Linked DNA regions of Cricetulus griseus. The main gene of each other region encodes a partner of the protein of the gene in region 2 in a complex. Links are inferred from orthologs where the notes say so. Each region holds a gene or a part of one and is shown on either strand. Other genes may lie near its edges.

What was found. The genes of interacting proteins can lie anywhere in the genome.
Region 1: Exosc2 (region 2) and Exosc5 share a complex: the UniProt entries of both Homo sapiens proteins name them as parts of the RNA exosome core complex. The link is inferred for Cricetulus griseus from reciprocal best matches to the Homo sapiens genes EXOSC2 and EXOSC5.

The regions. Positions count from the first base shown.
Region 1 is NC_048602.1:9,460,904-9,465,057, forward strand, and holds the start of Exosc5 (exosome complex component RRP46), read right to left. Parts: upstream 2,801-4,154; 5' UTR 2,753-2,800; coding exon 2,605-2,752; intron 88-2,604; coding exon 1-87. Other genes in the region: Bckdha (2-oxoisovalerate dehydrogenase subunit alpha, mitochondrial), read left to right, coding at 3,305-3,391. UniProt on the Homo sapiens protein: Non-catalytic component of the RNA exosome complex which has 3'->5' exoribonuclease activity and participates in a multitude of cellular RNA processing and degradation events.
Region 2 is NC_048599.1:143,396,339-143,399,838, reverse strand, and holds part of Exosc2 (exosome complex component RRP4), read right to left. Parts: intron 1,580-3,500; coding exon 1,534-1,579; intron 1,417-1,533; coding exon 1,327-1,416; intron 304-1,326; coding exon 238-303; intron 1-237. UniProt on the Homo sapiens protein: Non-catalytic component of the RNA exosome complex which has 3'->5' exoribonuclease activity and participates in a multitude of cellular RNA processing and degradation events.

The DNA of each region.
Region 1 (4,154 bases), on a different chromosome or scaffold from region 2:
TCACTTCGAGTGTGGCCTTGTTGAAGATTTCTTTGCTGACCTTCACCTCGGCTGGCCCGTACACTCCAGCCAGGACAGAGGTGTCACCTGGGGAGACATCAGCAGAGGCCTCTGCCACACCAACTCTCTTCTCTGCCTTCTCATCTGTAACTGGAGACTACTGCAGTCCTTCCCTCGAGGCACTTTTGTCAAGATCACATGACAGTGGCTCACAGAAGCAGTAAGCCCAGTCTCTCAGTGTCACACAACAAGATCAAATAAATACCCATTTTAAAAAGATACAGATACTTGAAACACAGGATGCTGGCCAGTGAGTCCAGAGCCCAGCCCAGACTTCAGCTACTGGTGAGTTTTTAGAAGCAGTTGGGGCTGGAGAGATAGCTCAGCAGGTCGGCACCCACACTGCTCTTCCAGAAGCCTAGAATGCAGTTCCCGGCACCCGCAGGCTGCTCATAATCACCTTGTAACTCAGCTCCAAGGTATGGACACCCTCTTCTGCCCTTCTTGGGCACCCGTACACACAGGCACACACACGTATATCCTCCCAGTGTCTGGGAGGCAGAGACGGGAGGGTCAGGAATTCAAGGTCATCCTTGGCTCCATACTGAGTTCGAGGCCACCCTGAACTACACAAGACTATCTCATAAACCAACCAAAAAGAAATCCATTGTTACATATAATTAATATATACTATTAAAAATATTTTAAAAGGCCTTACAAAAAACAAACAAAAAAGGGTCTGTAGTTGCGTTGGGTAGGGATCTTAATCTCTGCTCATTTTCCCAGAATGGCATAAATGGGTCTGGAGGAAAAAAAGCCTGGCTTCTAGCCCTGATTGCCTATTCCAGGCCCTTGTGTGATTTTGATAACCTCTGTGGGCTACAGAGAAGCCATCTACAAAGTGAAGACACTGCACTCAAACAGTGGTTTCCACATGATTTTGACCGTAATGCCCAATGACCAATACACTCTATACCACAACTCCAAACTGGTAAATGCATGTGTATAAGTGAATCACAGGTGGGCTGGAGAGATGGCTCAGCAATTAAGAGCACTTGTCGCTCTTGTAGAAGACGATTCACAAAGGTTTGTAACCACAGTTCCAGGGGACCCAACATACTCTTCCGACCTCCTCAGGCACCAGGGAGAGCCATAAAACAAACAAACAAACAAAAACAAAACAACAAAACCCAAGGGGTTAGGGATGCTAGCATGTGCAAAGTCCAAAGGGAAAAACAAAACAAAAAAACAAGATGGCTAGCCAACAAAGGCAGGTGACAGGCTCATGGGCTCTGTAGGTTTTCACTGTTGGATTTTCTGGGATCAGGCCCTAGACAGTCTAAGCTGGCCTTGAACCTGCTATGTAGCTGAGTGAACCTGGCCTTGCCTCTACCTCCCTGGGGAACGTACCCCATTTTTATGAATCCTGTTTTTAAGTGAAGATACTACGCTGGCTAGTTTTGTCAACTCAGCACAAGTTAGACAGATCTGAAAGGTGGGAATCTCAACTGAGGAACTGCCTCCATCAGACTGGCCTGTAGGGTAGTCTGCTGGGGCATCTTTTTTTTTTTTTTTTGGTTTTTCGAGACAGGGTTTCTCTGTGTAGCTTTGGAGGCTGTCCTGGAACTCGCTCTGGAGACCAGGCTGGCCTAGAACTCACAGAGATCCGCCTGCCTCTGCCTCTGCCTCCCAAGTGCTGGTATTTAAAGGTGTGCGGCACCAACGCCCGGCCCAATCTGTCTACTTTTGATAGCTCCTCACACTCCCACGACCTCTCAAAGCTGGCTGACCGGCATTGGGTGGAGGCAGGGTTGTGTGGGTGTCAGTCGTGAGACGCCTCTTTTCTCTCTACAATCACTTACACTGATGAGATGAATACACCAAGCAACAGACACATTTACTCAAATGATGGGATGGGAGAAGGGGAGATACCTGTGGGTCCAGAATGGGGATCATCACGTTCAATGTGAAGGGCATTCGCGTGGACCAAGTCATCTGCTGCTGTCACCGCACTTGACCCAGCGGCGATGACAAGTCCTTCTCAAAGGGAATGCATGCAAACGAACACCTTAGCCTCAACCGGAGGTGTACCGATCCAGGAGAAGTGTGTGGAAGGAAATCTAGTCAAGGGGCCTATTCGCCTTGGTGAAATTACACCTGTTCTGGAATATCCACTCTTCCTAGGGCGTGCTCTTGCCCCTGATTCCTTCCAGGCTGGACGTATCAAATATTTTTTTGGTTGTTTTTTCGAGTCGGGGAAGAGGTGTGGACCCCTCCTACGTATCTAGAAATAGTTTTTTCGTTTCTTTTCAAAGAGATGGGCGCACTCGGTTGCACACTACACGGTAACCGCTCTTCCAAAAAAAAAAAAAAAAAAAGAAAAGAAAACAAACCCCACCAGGCGTTGGTGGCGCTCGCCTTTAATCCCAGCACTCGGGAGGCAGAGGCAGGCGGATCTCTGTGAGTTCGAGGCCAGCCTGGTCTCCAGAGCGAGTGCCAGGATAGGCTCCAAAGCTACACAGAGAAACCCTGTCCCCCCCAAAATCCCAAAAACCAAGAAACCCAAGCCCCCCACAGTGGGGCTGGGGATCAGGCTCTTTTTACCTTGCAGGAAAGAAGCAGATCCATCCGGCCGGGACAGCAGGTTCTGTTCGCAGGCGAAATGCCGGAGGCTGCAGCCGGGACTCCGCGGGCCGGGCTCCGCGGCGGTGCCAGCGCCCAGCTCGGCGTCCGCACGCTTCGCGATCTCCATCGCCGCCGAGCACGCGCGCCCCGCCTGCGGCCGTAGCTTCCGCCCCCGTGGTGCGCACGCGCGCGCTGGCTCGCTCGCTCGCTCGCGGGCTCGCCGGCTCGCGGGCCCGGCTCGCAGCGGCTGCGTGGCCGCTGCGCATGCGCCAGCCTGGGCGGCGCCTGACTCGTCCCTGGCACGTGGCTGAGCGTTTACTAACAATCTGGTCCCGCCCCGCCTCCGCCTCCCGATTCTCGCAAAGCCATTGGGCCAGAAAGGAGAGGGGGCGGGTCTTGGAATAGGCCCACCTCGCCCAAGGCCCCCCGGCCCTCAACCCGTGAGCCTGTGGTCAGGGTGTCCCTTTCCTGCCTGATATCGGAGCCGCTATAAGCGGAAGGCTAGAGCCACGGCGGAGGATAATCAGAATCGGCACGCGCACTTAGGTTCGTGTCTTGGACTCACGGCGGTGGGAGTGAAGTCGCTTGTTGGCCCGACCGTGCCGGCATTTGAGGACGGCATCTGGTGGGGCAGCCCCGGGTCCAGCTGGGGAGAGAGGAGGCGTGGCTATCGAGCGAGATGGCGGCGGCGATGTGGAGACAGAGCCGGGGCCTGGCTGCTCTCCTGTCGCTGCGGCGGCCTGGGGCGCGGGGCTTGGCTAGATCCGTAAGTACCTGGGCCCCACGGGGTCCCTCCCGAGGTGGCTGCGGACGCAGAGGTTGCTCTTACGGTGTGTGCGGGTCGTGAAGGAAAGAAAAGGACGCGGACGCTCCTTGGAGAGAAGAGTCAGGGGAAGAGGGAGAAAACCGGGGGTGGGGTGGGCCAGGATCAGCCCCACGTTTCTTTATTCCGTTACTTAAAACTCCACTTGTGAAGCTGGGTGAGCAAGAAGCTGATTGGACCCCTGCGGTCCCCGATCAGAAGCGAAGGCGGGGGCCCGGGCGCGATCACTGTCACAGGCCATCGGGGTATGTTGGTTGATGTCATGAAGGGAGAAATCCACACAGGACCCTTTGTCAACGTTGTTTTTTAAAAATTATTCCTTTTTTTGTAGATTTTATTTATTATATATACAGCATTCTGCCTCCACATATGCCTGTTGCCAGAAGAGGGCACCAGATCTCATTACGGATGGCTGTGAGCCACCATGTGGTTGCTGGGAACTGAACTCGGGCCTCTGGAAGAGCAGTCGGTGCTCTTCACCTCTGAGCCATCTCTCTCCAGCCCATATTTTTTTTAAAAGATTTTATTTATTTATTATGTATACAATATTCTGCTTCCATGTATCTCTGCACACCAGAAGAGGGCATCAGATCTCATAATAGATGGCTATGAGCCACCATGTGGTTGCTGGGAACTGAACTCAGGACCTCTGGAAGAGCAGTCGGTCTCTCTCCAGCCCCTGTCAATGTTATTTTTTAAGGCAGGA
Region 2 (3,500 bases):
CTGAGACAGCAGTGCTGTGTTTGAGGTTAGCCTGGTACACAGTGAGTTCCAAGCCAGCCTGGGCTATCCTTAAAAAGAAAGACAATTGTGTCTAGCTTGCACCATGGGTCACAAGTTACAAAACCCAGAGTACTGTTCTGAGCTAAGGAGAAAGAGCAAAGCTTCAGCCAAGCCCTGGACATATGACCCAGAATTCAGACCCCTCTGGTCAGCTGGCAGCCCTGTAAGTCAGGATACACTGATGAGGTCTCCTTCCTGTAAGAAGCCTCTCATGGCCAGCTCATCCTCTGCAGATCTTCTCCTCTGAAACACACGGAAAAATGACCACATGACACAAGCCTCACTTTCAGGAGGAGCTCTTTCCATCCCTGCTTTTTGCTTGAGGTCTGTGTAGCCCACCATGGTATTTTAACATAAAGAACTATGACAAGAGGTAACCTCAACTGCTGGAGAACAAGGGAGGTGATACTAGCTCTCCAAGAGGGACCCTCCTAGGCTAACATCCAGACCCTCTACAGGTCACTGAGCCTGTTTCCCCACTTACCCTCACTTCCACCAGGCTGTGTGTCTGCTCACGTATCTCCCTTCATCTGAGTCCCAACCTCACTCCAACTCTCAGACCCCCAAGGGCCCTCCTATGAAACAACCCCTCTCTGCTCTCCATGTTTCTTTCTTTTCCTGCCTCCCCATGTGGTTCAGCTATCTCCTATCCTCCACCAATCTATAAGTTCTTTAAGGGACTCAGATGTGCCTTATTTATTCTGACACTCTCCATAGGATCCAGCTCACTGTCTAGAATAACCATGTGCATTCAAGTCACTGAAAACTAAGGATAAGTGGGGCTTAGTGGCACATGACTTTAATCCCAGCACTTGACAGGCAGAGGCAGGCAGATCTCTGTGAGTTAAAGGCCAGCCTGGTCTACAGAGTGAGTTCCAGGACAGCCAGGGTTACACAGAGAAACCCCGTCTGAACACCAACCTCCTGCCCACCCTCAAGAAAAGAAAAGAAAGCAAAGGCCAACATTTCACAGACACCTTCCCTGTGTAACCCACAAGAATGCCAACCCACCAAGAAAGGAAATTAGCACCAAGATTCAGGAGCCCCTCTCCCCAGCTCCATCTTGGGAGCCCACTCCACATGTGTTTCTGGTCTTACCAAACACTAGTTGCTGCCTATGTCAGGTGACCAGAGCCAGGAGAAAAAGCCTATGTTCACCAAGCTAGCAGACCCCATGACAAAACATTAACAGTGTAAACCGAGTTCTATGGTGGAACAAAAGCCCCACAGCTCAACTGGACAGTTCTAGGGCAGACAAGCACTCACCAGCTCCCCTCCGGGCAGGTTCATGGATGAGAGGAGCAAGACAGAATCCAGCCTGGAATTTGTCTCTACTTTCCACCTCTTCTGTTGAACCTGTAAGGAAAGAGTAAGGCAGCATCTCAGGGCACCTTCTTCATACAGCATTTCACAGAATGAAGGTCCCATCCCTGAGCCACCAGCCTCCTTCACTTTGTAAAACAGCAACTTTACCTCCGTGATTCTCCCCACTACAATGTCTCCTACTTCTCCATTGTATCTGCAAGAGAAAGCAGAAGGTTACCCAGTAGCCAGCAGGCTGACCAGACCAAGCACTATTTGAGGCTGAGTAAACAGATGGGACTTCAGAATCCCTGTGTATATACTTCATTCGTTTTCCTTAAAGAAACTGCTGCCGGGCATTGGTGGCTCACACCTTTAATCCCAACACTTGGGAGGCAGAGGCAGGCGGATCTCTGTGAGTTCAAGGGCAGCCTGGTCTCCAGAGCGAGTGCCAGGATAGGCTCCAAAGCTACACAGAGAAACCTTGTCTCGAAAAAACCAAAAGAAAAAAGAAAAAAAGAAATTACTCATTGCAAATCATTCCTTTAGACTGCAGTCCTAACTTTGCTTGATTATGTGACAAAAACACAAAGTACTTGCTTCTGAATAGGGGTGGGACAAGTTTATCACCACGCAATGGAGGGAAGGAGACACTGAAACACACTACCATCCATGGGGGCTCGAGCTGCCCTCTCCTCGATGCCTGCCTGGCTCAGGCACTTTGCTGGTCCCTCACCCTGATTCTGAGGATGAAGTGCTCTTTGCTAAAAGCCCAGGCATTAGAATAGGTCTCTTTCTACTCAAGCTCCCTCACAGTGAGCTCACCGAGTTTTAGTGGTGAGAGGCAGGGGCTCGTCCATACTCCCGGCTCTTGGGAGAGAGCGTCATGAAGCTATCCAGTATCAGTAGCCACACAAATGGCTCGTGAACACTTCTAAAAGTAACTAACCCAAAACAAAGACTGCCGGCATCGGCTTCCCCTTCTCCACAGCAAACCACTCTCCCATTGATGCCAGGTCAGTAAGTGCTTGCACACACACACACACACACACACACACACACACACACACACACACACACACACACACACACACACACACACACACACACACACACACACACACACACACACACACACACACACACACACACACACACACACACACACACACACACACACACACACACACACACACACACACACACACACACACACACACACCACACACACACACACACACACACACACACACACACACACACACACACACACACACACACACACACACACACACACACACACACACACACACACACACACACACACACACACACACACACACACACACACACACACACAACACACACACACACACACACACACACACACACACACACACACACACACACACACACACACACACACACACACACACCACACACACACACACACACACACACACACACACACACACACACACACACACACACACACACACACACACACACACACACACACACACACACACACACACACACACACACACACACACACACACACACACACACACACACACACACACACACACACACACACACACACACACACACACACACACACACACACACACACACACACACACACACACACACACACACACACACACACACACACACACACACACACACACACACACACACACACACACACACACACACACACACACACACACACACACACACACACACACACACACACACACACACACACACACACACACACACACACACACACACACACACACACACACACACACACACACACACACACACACACACACACACACACACACACACACACACACACACACACACACACACACACACACACACACACACACACACACACACACACACACACACACACACACACACACACACACACACACACACACACACACACACACACACACACACACACACACACACACACACACACACACACACACACACACACACACACACACACACACACACACACACACACACACACACACACACACACACACACACACACACACACACACACACACACACACACACACACACACACACACACACACACACACACACACACA